Macaca fascicularis: one gene and its partner. The protein of the gene in region 1 interacts with the protein of each later gene in a biochemical or structural test. Links are inferred from orthologs where the notes say so. Each region holds a gene or a part of one and is shown on either strand. Other genes may lie near its edges.

Region 1 (7,947 bases):
AGTTACCAGACTGACTATAGCAGTATTATAGCGCTTGTGTTCAAGTAACCCTCATTTTACTTAATAATGGCTCCAAAGTGTAAGAGCACAGATTCACATATGCCAAAGAGAAGCTGTAAACTGCTTTCTTCAAGCGAAAAGGTGAAAGTTCTCAACTCAGTAAGAGAAAAAAAAAAAAAACAACTCATGCTGACGTTGCTAAGATCTACGGAAAGATCTTTTTTTTCTGCAAAACTGTGAAGAAGGAAAAAGAAAATTTGTGTTGGTTTTGCTGTCACACCTCAAGCTGCACAAGTTATGGCCACAGGGCATAACTTTTATTACACTATATTATAATTATTCTATTTCATTATTAGTTATTGTTGTTAATCTCTTGCTTCTAAGTTAAACTTTACCATAAAAATGTATTTATAGGGAAAACATAGTATATATAGGATTCAGTACTATCTGTGGTTTCAGGCATTCACTGGAGGTCTTGAAACATATCTCCTGCAGATAAGGGGAAGACTGCTGTATTACTAAAAACTAAATTGTAGGCTGGGCGCAGTGGCTAATACCTGTAATCCTAGCACTTTGGGAGGCCGAGGTAGGCGGATTGCCTGAGCTCAGGAGTTCACGAACAGCCTGGGCAACACAGTGAAACCCTATCTCTATTAAAACAAAAAAAATTAGCCAGACATGGCGGCGTGTGCCTATGGTCCCAGCTACTTGGGAGGCTGAGGCAGGAGAACTGCTTGAACCCGTGAGACGGAGGGTGCAGTCAGACAAGATTGAGCCACTGCATCCAGCCTGGGCGACAGAGCAAGACTCCGTCTCAAAAACAAACAAACAAACAAAAAACGAAATTGTAATGTGTTAGTCAAAAGAGACAAGGCTTAGTTAAGCCATATTCACTATACATGAGAACTGTTTTACTTGAATTAGTATGGTATTAGTCAGGTGTGGTGACGTGTGCCTGCAGTCCTAGCTACTTGGGAGGCTGAGGCAGGAGGATCACTTGAGCCCAGGAAGCAGAGGTTACAGTGAGCCAAGATCATGCCACTGCACTTCAGCCTGGGTGACAGAGCAAGACCTTGTCTCAATTTAAAAAAAAAAACAAAGGGCTACATGCGATGGCTCACGGCTATAATCCCAGAACTTTGGGAGGCTGATCACCTGAGGTGGGCAGATCACCTGAGGTCAGGAATTCAAGACCAGCCTGGCCAACATGGCAAAACCCTATCTCTACTAAAATACAAAAATTAGCCGGGCGTGGTGGTGGGTGCCTATGGTCCCAGCTACTTGGGATGCTGAAGCAGAATTGCTTGAACCCACGAGGCGGACACTGCAGTGAGCCAAGAACACATCACTGCACTCCAGCTTGGGAGACAGAGCAAGACTCCGTCTCCAACAAAAAAAAAAAAAAAAAATTAGTATGGCTATAAATGTAGAATTCTAAATAACTTTAATATAATATGTCATCATTCAGTACTAGTAAATTCTATATTATGGAACTGTTGCAGGCCTTACTTTCCATTTATTAATCATATGACTTTCAACAAATTCCATAAATCACTCCCAACATGACCACCACTGCTCTTCAGTTTACTTTCATCTGCAAAATGAAACAGGAATGATTTGTCTGCTTCTATAGGGTGACCATAGGTATCAAGTGAAAAAATATACAAAAACATGTTTTGAAAACTGTAACATGCCGGCCGGGCGCGGTGGCTCAAGCCTGTAATCCCAGCACTTTGGGAGGCCGAGGCGGGTGGATCACGAGGTCAGGAGATCGAGACCATCCTGGCTAACATGATGAAACCCCGTCTCTACTAAAAATACAAAAAACTAGCCGGGCGTGGTGGTGGGCACCTGTAGTCCCAGCTACTTGGAGGCTGAGGCGGGAGAATGGCATGAACCCGGGAGGTGGAGCTTGCAGTGAGCCGATATCGTGCCACTGCACTCCAGCCTGGGCGACAGAGCGAGACTCCGTCTCAAAAAAAAAAAAAAAAAAAAAAAAAAAAAGAGAACTGTAACATGCCATTAAAACATAATGCATTATGGTTAAAGAAATTGGAAATGGGTTGGGCGCAGTGGCTCACGCCTGTAGTCCCAGCACTTTGGGAGGCTGAGGCGGGTGGATCACAAGGTCAAGAGATCGAGACCATCCTGGCCAACATGGTGAAACTCCATCTCTACTAAATACAAAAATTAGCTGGGCGTGGCGACATGCTACTTGGGAGGCTGAGGCAAGAGAATGGCATAAACCCAGGAGGCAGAGGTTGCAAAAAGCCGAGATCGTACCGCTGCACTCCAGCCTGGCGACAGAGCAAGACTCCATCTCAAAAAAAAAAAAAAAAAAAAAAGAAAAGAAATTGGAAATTGGAAGCATACCTTATTATTCATCTGCTATATAAATGCAAACAAGAGTCCAATACAACTTTGTCATCAAAATTACAGTAGACAAAGCATGGCCACAAATTCTTTGACATTTTTCCCTTCAAAAGTGAGGGTTGGATACTGGTCTGACTGCTCTAACCAACAGAGTATGTTGGAAATAATGTTGTGCCTATTTCTGGGTTCAGGCTTTTTGGGAGACACGCAGCTTCTATTTCCTGTCTCCTCAAACATGTATTCTTGGAACCTAACCACCATACTGTTCACGTCAGAAGTTCAAGTCACGTGAAGAGGCTATGTGTGGGCATTCCAGTTGACATTTCCAGCTGAACTCCTAGCCAACATCAACTGCCTTCACATGAATTAGCCATTTTGGATGTCCAGACCAGCTGAGCTCTCGGATGACTCCAAACTCAGCTGCTTATCTGAATACAAACGCATTAAAGTCTAGGTGAGAACCACTTAGCTAAGTACAGGCAGGCCAGAGAAACAGGAGAGATATAAATTATAGTTTTAAGCCACTGTGTTTTGGAGTCATTTGTTACGCAGCAATAGGTAACTGGGACAACAACAAGGTATTTTTTAAATGTTTCCTTAATTATTTCTAATTTTATTAGCAACACATCCTTGAAGACTTTTTTTCCTTTCACTTCCGTAAATATGAGCGCATTTTCATGTAGAAAAGTTCATAATAAAGTATAATGCTAGACTTATGAAAAAAATTTAATGTACTGGTTTTATTTTCCAACTGTCTTACTCAAAAGTCATTTTGATTATTTTCCATTATGTCCACGCTTTTTATTTTAATTTTTTGAGATGCAGTTTTGCTCTTGTCACCCAGGCTGGAGTGCAATGGTGCAATCTCAGCTCACTGCAACCTCTGCCTCCCCGGTTCAAGCGATTCTCCTGCCTCAGCCCCTGGAGTAGCTGGGATTACAGGCGTGTGCCACCATGCCCAGCTAATTTTGTTTTTTAGTAGAGACCAGGTTTCGCCATGTTGGCCAGGCTGGTCTCGAACTCCTGACCTCAGGTGATCCACTCTCCTCGGCCTCGGAAAGTGCTGGCATTACAGACGTGAGCCACTGCGCCCAGCCACGTCCACATTAATAAACAAATGCCCATAATGATTAATAAAGTCCAAGTAAATATATTAAAAAATGAAATGCTAAAAAAGTCACCTTTAAAACATTTTTGTTAGTTTTTCTTATACATTGTTTTCTAAAAAAAATACATGCCTATGTGCAAAATTTCATTAATGACAGGTGTGTATATATATATATATATTTTTACTACTACAGGGTCTTCACTATCTAATATTAAAGATGCATCCAATGTGTCACAAGAAAAGGAATACCTATTTCAAGGCAGCCATATCAACATGATAAAGACATAACACAACCGATATCACCTTCCAGATATGCTTAATGGTCCAGGGATATGTTGTAAGGAGAAACTACCCAAATCCATCATGAATGACATTCACCAACGAATCTTAAACAGAATCGGCTGAAATGCAAAATCTGCTTACATGGCAAAGCCGCAGCAGAGCAAGCCTAAAACAGGAACACTTCCTTAACAAATAACCACTTGGCATTTTTAATGGCTGCAGCAAGATATTTACAAAACTAAGGATGCTTCGCAGATTCAGAAAAGGTAATATCCTTTAGATACAAATCCCTTTCATCTGAAACCCTCAGGTCTCTTAAATTCTAAATTCCTTAGGCTCTGCAACACCTCCGTGTCAGGTAAATATTTTGTTAGTGATTAAGTGACTTGTTCAAGGTCACAGAATGAACTGGAGGCAAGAAATAAACCCAGGAGGGTGGTCTGCAGCTTTCTATATAAATGCACATCGCTGCAAGTAAGGATTCCGATAATTTCCAAGGTGGAGTGGCGGCGAAATTAACTTGTCCCACAACTCTAGGTTGGAAGGCACTTTTTAGGGGGGCGGGGAAAAGCTTCTATTTGAGGCAGTCATAGTTTTAACTCTGATAAGCTTATAGGGTCTTTAAACTCCTACTTCACTAAAATGAAGTGTGACTAGGGAAGAGGAGAAACTGGGAAACAGTTTTAGGAGCTGTAGTAAGGCCTGGGATTGTAGGCAGATTGCAGAGAGTAAAATAAAAAAAATAAAAAAAACCAAAAACAAAAAACCGGAAGCAAGAGGAAAGAGGTCAAAGTCGGGTATAAGTGTCCAAGAGAACGGAAGAATGGTCAAAGCCACCTTTTAAAACCGAAAAACCGCACGAAACTCGCTTGGCAATCCTAGATGGGTGGCGTAAAAGACTCAAGGTTGGGCCCTTCCTCTCCACAAGCCGGTTCTACCTTTCGGAGTTGTCCCACTCCTCTCCGCGGACAGGGCTTGTCTCCCGGGTGACCAGCAGCTGGTGGAAGGAGAGGGGGTTCACAGCGGACGACTTCCCAGAGGACAGGTGCCAGGGCCCAAGACCCGCACTCACCGTGACGCCCGGCGCGCTTCACTAACGCCAGCCTTCTCGCCAAACGCCCATCTCCCAAGAACTCGAGGGAGAATTAGCCTTGGCTATCAGGACGGAAGCCAGCCCAGCTCATCCCCTTTTCCCGATTTGCATTGCGAGGCGACGCGTCGCGTCTCCAGACGTCACGGTAGGGGCTGGGCTTCGCGTGCGCTCCTTGACTTCTCTCTTTCACCGCCCTCCCCCTTTCGGTGAGGGCCGAGCGGCGGGGCGAGGGAGGGTTGAGGGAGGGTCGAGGAGGACGTTATGGGTGGGCGGCGGCGGCAAGGGCGGGATTTCTCTGAGCCGGATCAACACAGTCGGCCGGTTCCGTACCCCCCGCACTGCACCCTGCATTTCCGGGTTGCAACCGGGCGGTAGCCAAGCGGCCCAGGTTCGCTTCGCATTCTGGGCCTTGTGGAAGAAGCGAGGTTGCTCTTGCATCCCTTTACTACGTTATTTTCCTCCTCAGATTGGAAATTAGAAAAAACTTAAAAGGGGATTTAACGCCCCTCTATTTCTGTCTTAACATTCTCTGAAGCCAAGCCTTTCTTTGGTCAAAGAAAAACAGGTATTATCCTAAAACATATTTTATGTACAATTTTTAACGTCATTTAAAAGGCCCTGTCGAGGCCGGGCACGGTGGCTCACGCCTGTAATCCCAGCACTTCGGGAGGCCGAGGCGGGCAAATCATGAGGTTAGGAGTTCGAGACCAGCCTGGCCAATATGGTGAACCCCCCCCCACCCCCCATCTCTATTAAGAATACAAAAAAATTAGCTTGGCGTGGTGGCGCGCGCCTGTAATTCCAGCTACTCCAGTGGCTGAGGCAGGAGAACTGCTTAAACCCGGGGAGGGGAGGTTGCAGTGAGCCGAGATCGCGCTGCTGCACTCCAGCCTGGGCAGCAGAGCAAGACTCCGTCTGGTTGGGGGAAGGCCGGTCTAACAGAAACGAAATGAGAGGTCTGAACTTTCTCGCGAGCTGATCTTTGTACTCTCTTAGAGAAAGGTGATTGGATGCTCCGGTTATCTGTAAACATAAAATTGATTTGGGTGGAGCTTTAGGCAGTAGTCACTAAGGCCTCAGGAACACTCCGGGTGTCTTAGGGATGGGAAATCTGGCAGCAAGATCTAGTAGACGTAGGCCGGGCGCAGTGGCTCAAGCCTGTAATCCCAGCACTTTGGGAGGCCGAGACGGGCGGATCACGAGGTCAGGAGATCGAGACCATCCTGGCTAACACAATGAAACCCCGTCTCCACTAAAAATACAAAAAAATTAGCCGGGCGTGGTGGCGGCGCCTGTAGTCCCAGCTACTCGGGAGGCTGAGGCAGGAGAATGGCGGGAACCCGGGAGGCGGAGCTTGCAGTGAGCCGAGATCGCGCCACTGCACTCCAGCCTGGGCGACAGAGCGAGACTCCGCCTCAAAAAAAAAAAAAAAAAAAAAAAGATCTAGTAGACGCTTTTAAGTGAAAGTGTGTGCCACATTGTACAGTGTACACTGCTCGGGTGATGGGTGCACCAAAATCTCAGAAATGACCACTAAAAAACTTTTCCATGCAACCTGTTACCCCAAAACTACTGAAATGAATTTTTTTTAAAAGGATAAAATAAAGTGTGTTCAATGAATTTGTAATGAAGGCCAGTTTCAGTGGCCCAGGCCTGTAATCCCAGCACTTTGGGAGGCTGAGGCAGGAGGATCCCTTGATCCCAAGAGACAGAGACCAGCTTGAGCAACAAAGGGAGACCCCCATCTCTACAAAAAAAAAATTTTAAAATTAGGCTGAGTGCGGTGGCTCATGCCTGTAATCCCAGCACTTTGGGAGGCCGAGGTGGGCAGATCACTTGAGGTCAGGAGTTTGAGACCAGCTTGGCCAAAATGGTGAAACCTCGTCTCTACTAAAAATACAAACATTAGCTGGGCGTGGTGGCGCGCACCTGTAATCCCAGCTACTCAGGAGGCTGAGGCAGGTGAATTGACTGAACCAGGAAGGTGTAGGTTAGATCATGCCACTGCACTCCAGCCTGGGCAACAGAGCGAGACTCCTCCAAAAAAAAAAAAAAAAAAAAAAAATCTAAGTTACAAATAGCATTTCCGTTTTCCATAGAATCTAAAACTCCCCAAAATTTCTGTGAACTACAGCAGTATTTTCTCCACTTGGTAAGAGACATAAGGACAGCTTAACTACCCTTCTTTATCCAAACTAAGTTAAGAACAGCCCAGGTTTCCTGATTCTCACTCCCAAGTAAAACTAAATAGGTTTTATGTATGTTGCAGCTGTTGCACCCTTTTCCTCTTTGAAATAAAACTTTTCTATTTGTTTGGGGAAAGAAAACATGACTGAAAGTCCAAAGTGTTAGCTTAGAGCTCAAAACACTAGCTGCTGTTTCAAGGTCCAGTCTCCATGTGGACGGCTCATGGCCTGTTTAAATTGTTGCCATAAGGAAATGGGGCAGAGTGTTGCCAATTTTCTGATTTTCTGTGCGTGGGAAAAATCTCCAAACTGCTTTTTAAATTTGGGGAATATTATATATATATATATATATATATGTGTGTGTGTGTGTGTGTCAACTAACGTAATCCATATACACACGAATTGTTAGTTGACAACAACAGTATACATAAAAAAATTTACAAACACTGCAAAACAAATAAAATCCAAGCCATCCATTTGTGACCACAGTCATAAGCATTAACTTAGCCAGGGGCTTTCAGATAATTCTCTGTTAAAGAGGAAGTCTGAGAAAAGACTAAGATAACCAAATGAACATAATGTCAAAGAATGAAATCATGGGAACAATTTGGATTTTGTTCCAAAGTCAAGTGTTTTTAAAATAATCTTTCCATACTTCATGTTTTGTTCTATAGAGTTCAACGTTTTAACTTCCATGGCCCTTTAGATCTCTTTCGAGCACATTCCATGATTTTTCTTCTGATCATACTCCCTCCACAAAACCTTTTTCGGCTGGGTGTAGGGGCTCACAGTTGTAATCCCAGCACTATGGGAGGCTGAGGTGCATGGATTGCTTGAGGTCAGGAGTTTTGAGACCAGCCTGGGCAACATAGCAAGATCCTATCCCTACAAAATATTAAAAAATT
Region 2 (7,298 bases), on another chromosome or scaffold:
CGGGCGCAGCGGCTCACACCTATAATCCCAGCACTTTGGGAGGCTGAGGCGGGTGGATCATCACGAGGTCAGGAGTTTGAGACCAGCCTCACCAACATGCTGAAACCCCGTCTCTACTAAAAATACAAAAACATCAGATGGGCGTGGTGGCACCTGCCTGTAATCCCAGCTACTCAGGAGGCTGAGGCAGGAGAATTGCTTGAACCTGGGAGGCAGAGGTTGCAGTGAGCAGGGATCTAGCCACTGCACTCCAGCCTGGGTGAAAGAGGGAGACTCTGTCTCAAAAAAACAAAGCAAAACAAAAAAAACCTGAACTACAAATTCCACAGTTCAAACACGCTTCTTTTTAAGGGTCAAAGTAACAACAGTTTTCTAATTTTTAGGAGTACATGCAGACAAGTAAGTCTGGGGCTACTTCACAGGCTGATTATAGCACAGTGCTAAGCACATAATAGGCTTAGTCTCATAAAGGACAATTAGCTTTATTTTGTCCCAGGGATGCAGACTGTAAGCTTAAGGGCAGGCAATAATCTCAGTATGGGTAGCAAAGCTAAGGTAACACCATTCCACTTCACAGGATTATGAATAAACAGCTCTGTAACTTCATCTTAATAAGGGTCTATATATTCCCATTCTGAAAATCTAGGAAAATTAACACATATAATTATAAAATTAGCACAGCTCCCAAAACTTACCTTAAATATGAAGTTTGAGCAGGCTGTGTTGTCACTGAGGAATTCACATTTGGAGGCAGAGATCTCAGTGGACCAATCTGATCGGGTCCTAGGCTATAGCTTTGGGCAACAGTTACTTGGTGAATGCTCTGACCCATATAGTTTCCACCATGTGATTGAACTGGATATGTCTATTAATCAGAAAGAAAAAGTTGATTCATGAATCTCCCAAACTTGTGCCTAATAATATATTTAAAATGTTAAAAGACTTAAAGGAAAGAAACTATATGTCTTTGGGAAGCAATCTGATTCTACCAATCTATCCATCTTAGAACTAAAAGTGGTGAGCTGTCAAATCACAGTGCCATATCTATGGAAATTTGATTTGTTTGGCTGTTCTTTTATTTTTACAGAGAGCTGGGAGAAAGACAGGTGGTATACTTTTAAGTAGTGGATTGCCATCTATCCAGGTTGCCTATTACTCAGTAAACATGTCTTGTTGTAGAGCCACAGAAAACTGTACACTCCCTTGAAGGGAAGCCCACCATCACTTAAAGTCACTATAAGAATGATAACCTTCTTTACCCTCATCCCAGGATGACTCATCCAACTCCTTCCTAAGAATGAAACTTAAAAGAACAAGCTGAAAAAGAAACGGTATAAGGATGCCAGGGCTTCCCTGGCAATGTCTACTTTATCTCTTACCTTTCAGACAAACAGGACAAAAGTAAGGAAGAGTTATTGGTAAAAGACATGTATCCTCAGGAAAGAGCAAAAATGGTTTAGGTCTCTTTGGACATTTATATGTGCCCTACTTATTTTCAGGACAACAGCTCCTTAAGGACAGGGTCTACCACCTGTCTACTATATATAGCATCAAAACAATGCACACATTTAATATCATATCATACCATAATGATCATCAATCCAGTTTTAAATTAAGCTATTTTTTAAAGCAAAGACCATTTATCTGAAAATTTAGAATGCTAGAAATCCCAAATAAGCTATATTAAGTACAATCACATTACCTCCTTAGTAGACATGTAACAATCTACTGACAATAGGCTGAGACTGTGAGAATCAGCTTCTTCTGCAGTTTAGGGTTCCTGAGTAGCCTACACAGATACAACTAACTTGTTACCCCAATTGCTTCTAGTAGAGATGTATTTTTGTCAAATTAGAATAGAAACTTTTGAATATTTCAAATGCTCGAGTGAATAGTGTAGATACAGATTATGTGAGGAATCAAACAGAAAGTTAACTTTTCAGAGAAATGAGTTGTGCTTGGCAAAATGCAGTAAGCAGAATTCAAGTAAACACCGAAACCTGACACAGAATAGCAAATAACCCTTTACAGACACATAAAAAAGCCAACATAGGCCGGGCACGGTGGCTCAAGCCTGTAATCCCAGCACTTTGGGAGGCCGAGACAGGCAGATCACGAGGTCAGGAGATCGAGACCATCCTGGCTAACACGGTGAAATGTCTCTACTAAAAAATACAAAAAAAAAAAAAAAAAACTAGCCAGGCGAGGTGGCGGGCGCCTGTAGTCCCAGCTACTTGGGAGGCTGAGGCAGGAGAATGGCGTGAACCCGGGAGGCGGAGCTTGCAGTGAGCTGAGATCCGGCCACCACACTCCAGCCTGGGTGACAGAGCGAGACTCCGTCTCAAAAGAAAAAAAAAAAAAAAAAGCCAACATAGTTTTATCATACAACGATGCAGACACTGCTTTTTGTCCCACTTTCACAGCAGCAGCAAACAACTCTGAAAACAGAAGCAAACTGAGTAACTCCCAAATGTCTTTTGCAGCCAGAAATCTTTCTTACCCTCCTAATTTTCAAAAAGATCAAGGCATGGCACATTTGATAAATGTATCTTGTCTGACGTGACAGTTACCATAGTGACTATTCTTTTTTTACTTAACAATTACGTTGTGTCAAGTCATCTAAATTATTCACCCACATTCTACCCTTTCTCCTTGGTGTCTCCTTCACATGTACCTTTAGATACCAGTGTTCATAAATTAACATGCATTTTGCTCATCCAAGCTCATTCTGAATTCAATTGGCTAACTGGCTGAAATTTCAAAATGCTTCTGAATGGGGATACTGACAAATATAAAGTATTCACTTCATATGGCAAGCACACAAAAAAGGTGAAAAGTACTGGAAAAAGATGGCTTACGGATGTTCATGGATGGCTTATGGAGTCTGTACCTCCTAGATGTGTATCATATCTTTGCTATGCACAAATTTTTAACAATTTAAGTCATGCAGCTAAGTAAAGGAAGTATAAAGCATACTCTAGAAGTTCATTGTGCCTGTTAATAATCATGTGAGTCAAATAAATCTTTATGGAAATTTGTAAAGAAATGTTAAATCTTGTTGAGCAGCAGCAAAGTCTTGGTACCTGGGGAACTTCTGATATGCTAGGTACCATCCGAAATCAAAGGATTTATACTCCACATTTACAAAAAGGATTTATACTTACATAAAAGATTTATGCTTTATACTTACAAAAGCATATGAAGAACCAGAACTACCCTCACATACTTAATGGTCTTTTCATCCATGTTAAAACTGAACTATAATGTATTTGTGAAATGTCAGTATCTGTCTAAGTTGTTCTGGTGAATGTTAATTGTTCAGTCAATATTTACTGAAACAATCAAAGATAAATTTTATAATTTTATTTACATACAAAAGAAATCTTAATACTATGCTGTAAAACACTTTCTTTTACTTTAAAACTTGTTTATAATTTAGAAAATGTTCTCAAAAAACATGCTCACCTGCATTGGAACCCCGGATGATGCAGGTGGGTAATGTGCTGGAGGGTGGAGCTTTGAATAGACTGAGTACACTGGTGCTTCATTCACCAATTTGTTATATAGTTCCAGAGCTTCCAGGACTTTTACATTCAATTCAGACAATTCTGAATGCTTCCTGATGTAGAAGAAAAGTATTATAATACTCTTCTAGTTTTTAGCATCTGTTTAGTGATATGAATTATTTTTTAAATTTAGCACAATTTCTATTCATATATCAAAAGGCTATTTTATATTTAATGAAAGAATATTCACAAAGGGAAACTGAGAGGAAGAACTGCTTAATCCTTGTAATAGCTAGCCTGATACTAAGGCAGGAAAATAGGGTCTGGAGGCAGGGAATCTAAGGCTGTTTTTCAAGCTGACTTCTTGTAACTACACTGAAAGGAAAACCAACCCTAACTTTCCACACCTAAGTAACAAAAGGACCAGAGGCTGCTCCCTTTGCAAACTCCCCACGTTTTCTGTGCAGCAGATGGGAAATTGGGTGTCCGAAAAAAATCAGACTGATTACAAGTCCAGTCTTCCTTTGCAACTTTGTAACTTCAGCCTCCGAACGGTTGCTGTCCACAACCAGCCTCTGAATGGCTGCTCCAGCCTCTGAATGGTTGCTGTCCACAACCAGTCAGACTGACTGTGGGCGGAGTCTTCCTTTGCATACAAGCATAATTGTAACTTCTCCCTAGCCTCTAATTGGTTGCTTTTTGCAACCAATCAGATGGTTGCACAGCACTGTGACCTTTGTAACTTCATTTCAGCCTCTGGTTGGCTGCTTTCTGCAACCAGACTGATCGTGAGCTTCCACTTCATTTACATGAGGTGAGCATGAAGCGGCCAATGGGAAACTTCTAGGGGGTACTGTACTTGGACCCAAGAAGGTTCTGTATCCGGGTCCTTCAGCTGCTGCTCAGGCCCACTCCCACACTGTGGGGCGTACTTTCGTTTTCAATAAATCTCTGCTTTTGTTCTTCTGTTGCTTCGATCTTTCTTTCCTTTGCTGGGCATTTTGTCCAATTCTTTCTTCAAAATGCCAAGAACCTGGACAACCTGCAGTCACAATCCTCTACCAGTGACAAAATGACTTTATAATATTAGGGAAAAGTCCTTTCCATGCCTCATAAAATGCAATCAATTCACAATTTTGGTGCTGAGAGAATTTACTTTCACACATTCCAGTTTTATTTTGAGAATTCAATTATTAAAAAGAAAATTCTCAATTTGGGTAAGAATCTAGGCCTGAATTATAAATCTCAATAAAAGAAAGTACCCACGCAAGGCCCAGAACCTCTATGAAGTACACGATATGATGGAAATTTAAAAACACTTGTTAAAAAAAAAAAAAAAAGCCGGGCGCGGTGGCTCAAGCCTGTAATCCCAGCACTTTGGGAGGCCGAGACGGGCGGATCACGAGGTCAGGAGATCGAGACCATCCTGGCTAACACAGTGAAACCCCGTCTGTATTAAAAAATACAAAAAAAACTAGCCGGGTGAGGTGGCGGCGCCTGTAGTCCCAGCTACTCGGGAGGCTGAGGCAGGAGAATGGCGGGAACCCGGGAGGCGGAGCTTGCAGTGAGCTGAGATCCGGCCACTGCACTCCAGCCTGGGCGACAGAGCGAGACTCCGTCTCAAAAAAAAAAAAAAAAAATCACACACATTTTCATTTGTTTATATCCATAAAAATATCAACTGAAAAAAAAAAACCTACTTAAATAATTACCCTTGAAAATCCAAGTAAAAACAGTGTGTAAGACTAGTCTCTACAGCTCGTTTGTTGGTTGGTTTATTTTGAGAAAGTAAGTAAACCAATACTTTATTATGTAGTAACAAAAAATCCAAATAAAAGCATCTTCAAATATGACCAAGAAGCTTCAGAGCAGACTCTTCCTACTTGAAACAATTTTGTCTGTTCCCCTGGGAGTAATAAAGAACTCTCTTTGCACTGTCAAATTTATAATAGTTAAGCAACCACTTTTCATCTGGCCTGAAACATCCACAAGCCTTTTTATTGAAATGTGGTTCTTTCTACATAAACACAGAGAGGCAACAAGCAGAGGCACACAGACACAGGACTACCAAGTAAACAGCCACTGAGTCCTATCAAGATTTGTCACTTTTCTTCTATTAGTCTTTTATGTCTGAACAACAACAACAAAAAGTTTGTTCCCTCTCTGGTAGGAATGACTGCATTAAGCAGGTCAAACTTTATTATCAAAAATAAGAGTTACGAGCCACCCAGAAAGCTACAGAAATTAGTGCCATGCTAACAAATGCATAACTAAAATTTATCTGTAGGAAATCCACAAAACCCAGTATGTTGATGAAACAACAGAAAAATGCAGTAGAAAGACATGATCACTGTGTTTGAAATCCCCTGAAAGATTTGAGACACAATCCCAGAGTAATAAGGCAAAAGAGCAACTTGATCAGATGGTAGAAAATGATCTTTGGAGGACAGGAGGAAATAAGATTAGAATAGTCTGGAACATAGTTAAGGCCAGACTATGAATCTCTCTTCAATAAATCTACCTAAACTTTTTTGGAGTCAATTTACATGTTTACTCAATATAATTTCTTAGGGTGATAAAATGCTACAAAATTTCATTCTGTAAAATGACAGAAATGAAATGTACAATTTAACTTTCTAACAATAGAGTTGTTTTTCTGAGCAGGAATAACAAACCCAATGATCCATTCAAGGGAAAAATTGGTACTTTATTCATCTCTGAATACTTGACAAGGGTAAATAACAGTCAATAAGAATTTGTTGAAGAACAGGAAACATTTCCCAGAACAGGAGCTGCATCTGCAGCTGTGGCCATGGAACAAGAAAAAATGCCAGTTGGCCTATTCAAAAACTGAAACTGGTAAGAAAACTGGTTAATGATTGAGTTCTCACTCAAAAAATTAACTACCATCAGAATGGTCACTTTGATTTTTTTTTTCTTTTGAGACAGGATCTCATTGTGTCACCTAGACTGGAGTGCAGTGGTGCAACTGTGGCTCACTGCAGCCTCCTTGACCTCCCAGGCTCAAGCAATCTTCCCACCTCAGCCTCCTGAGGAGCTGGGACCACAGGTGCATACCACCAAGCCCAGCTAATTGTTAAAATTTTTTTTTTTAGAGATGGGGTCTCACTGTATTGCCCAAGCTGGTCTCAAATTCCTGGGCTCTGATGATCCTCCCACTTCAGCCTCCTGAAGTGCTGGGATTATAGGTGTGAGCCCCCACACCAGCCTCACTCTGACTTCTAATTCTTCTAGATCTTTTCCTTTAACAAAATTATTTTTATGAACCAAAAATAAGATTAAATTGTCATAGCTTCTGCCTTTTTTCATTATATATTATAATATCTGTTCATATCAAGGGATAATTATCAAGGACAATGATATTCATTGTAGAATGTGTGGACACACACTCAGTCCTCCATGTCCATGGGTTCTGCATCCGTGCACTCAACTTCAAATTGAAAATACAAAACATTAAAAAAAATTGTGTCTGAACTAAACATACAGCCACATCTATAATACTTTTTAATCTTTTCCAGTTTGATTATTCACTAACCATTAACATCCTGCATTGAAACAAAGTAGATGTGTAAGGAGATATTTAATGCTTTCTCTAAAATATGGCAAAACTACTGTCAATTGACACACAGATTTTTCATTTCTTTAGAAAACACATTTATTTTTAAAATGTCCCCTGGAACAAAGATGACAATCTCTGGTGACTAGGAAAAGTCCTGCTGCTACTGCACTTCTCTGGTAGAGGCAGAAAAGAAGTAGTTTCTGTTCTCCTTA

Evidence for each region.
Region 2: the proteins of USP8 (region 1) and STAM2 form a complex in vitro, tested with the Homo sapiens proteins (3 studies listed by BioGRID, with this or other methods). The link is inferred for Macaca fascicularis from reciprocal best matches to the Homo sapiens genes USP8 and STAM2.

What each region holds. Positions count from the first base shown.
Region 1 is NC_088381.1:26,902,771-26,910,717, reverse strand, and holds the start of USP8 (ubiquitin carboxyl-terminal hydrolase 8), read right to left. Parts: upstream 4,964-7,947; 5' UTR 4,601-4,963; intron 1-4,600. UniProt on the Homo sapiens protein: Hydrolase that can remove conjugated ubiquitin from proteins and therefore plays an important regulatory role at the level of protein turnover by preventing degradation. Converts both 'Lys-48' an 'Lys-63'-linked ubiquitin chains.
Region 2 is NC_088386.1:47,650,161-47,657,458, forward strand, and holds part of STAM2 (signal transducing adapter molecule 2), read right to left. Parts: intron 7,225-7,298; exon of another isoform or gene 7,212-7,224; intron 3,620-7,211; coding exon 3,466-3,619; intron 866-3,465; coding exon 696-865; intron 1-695.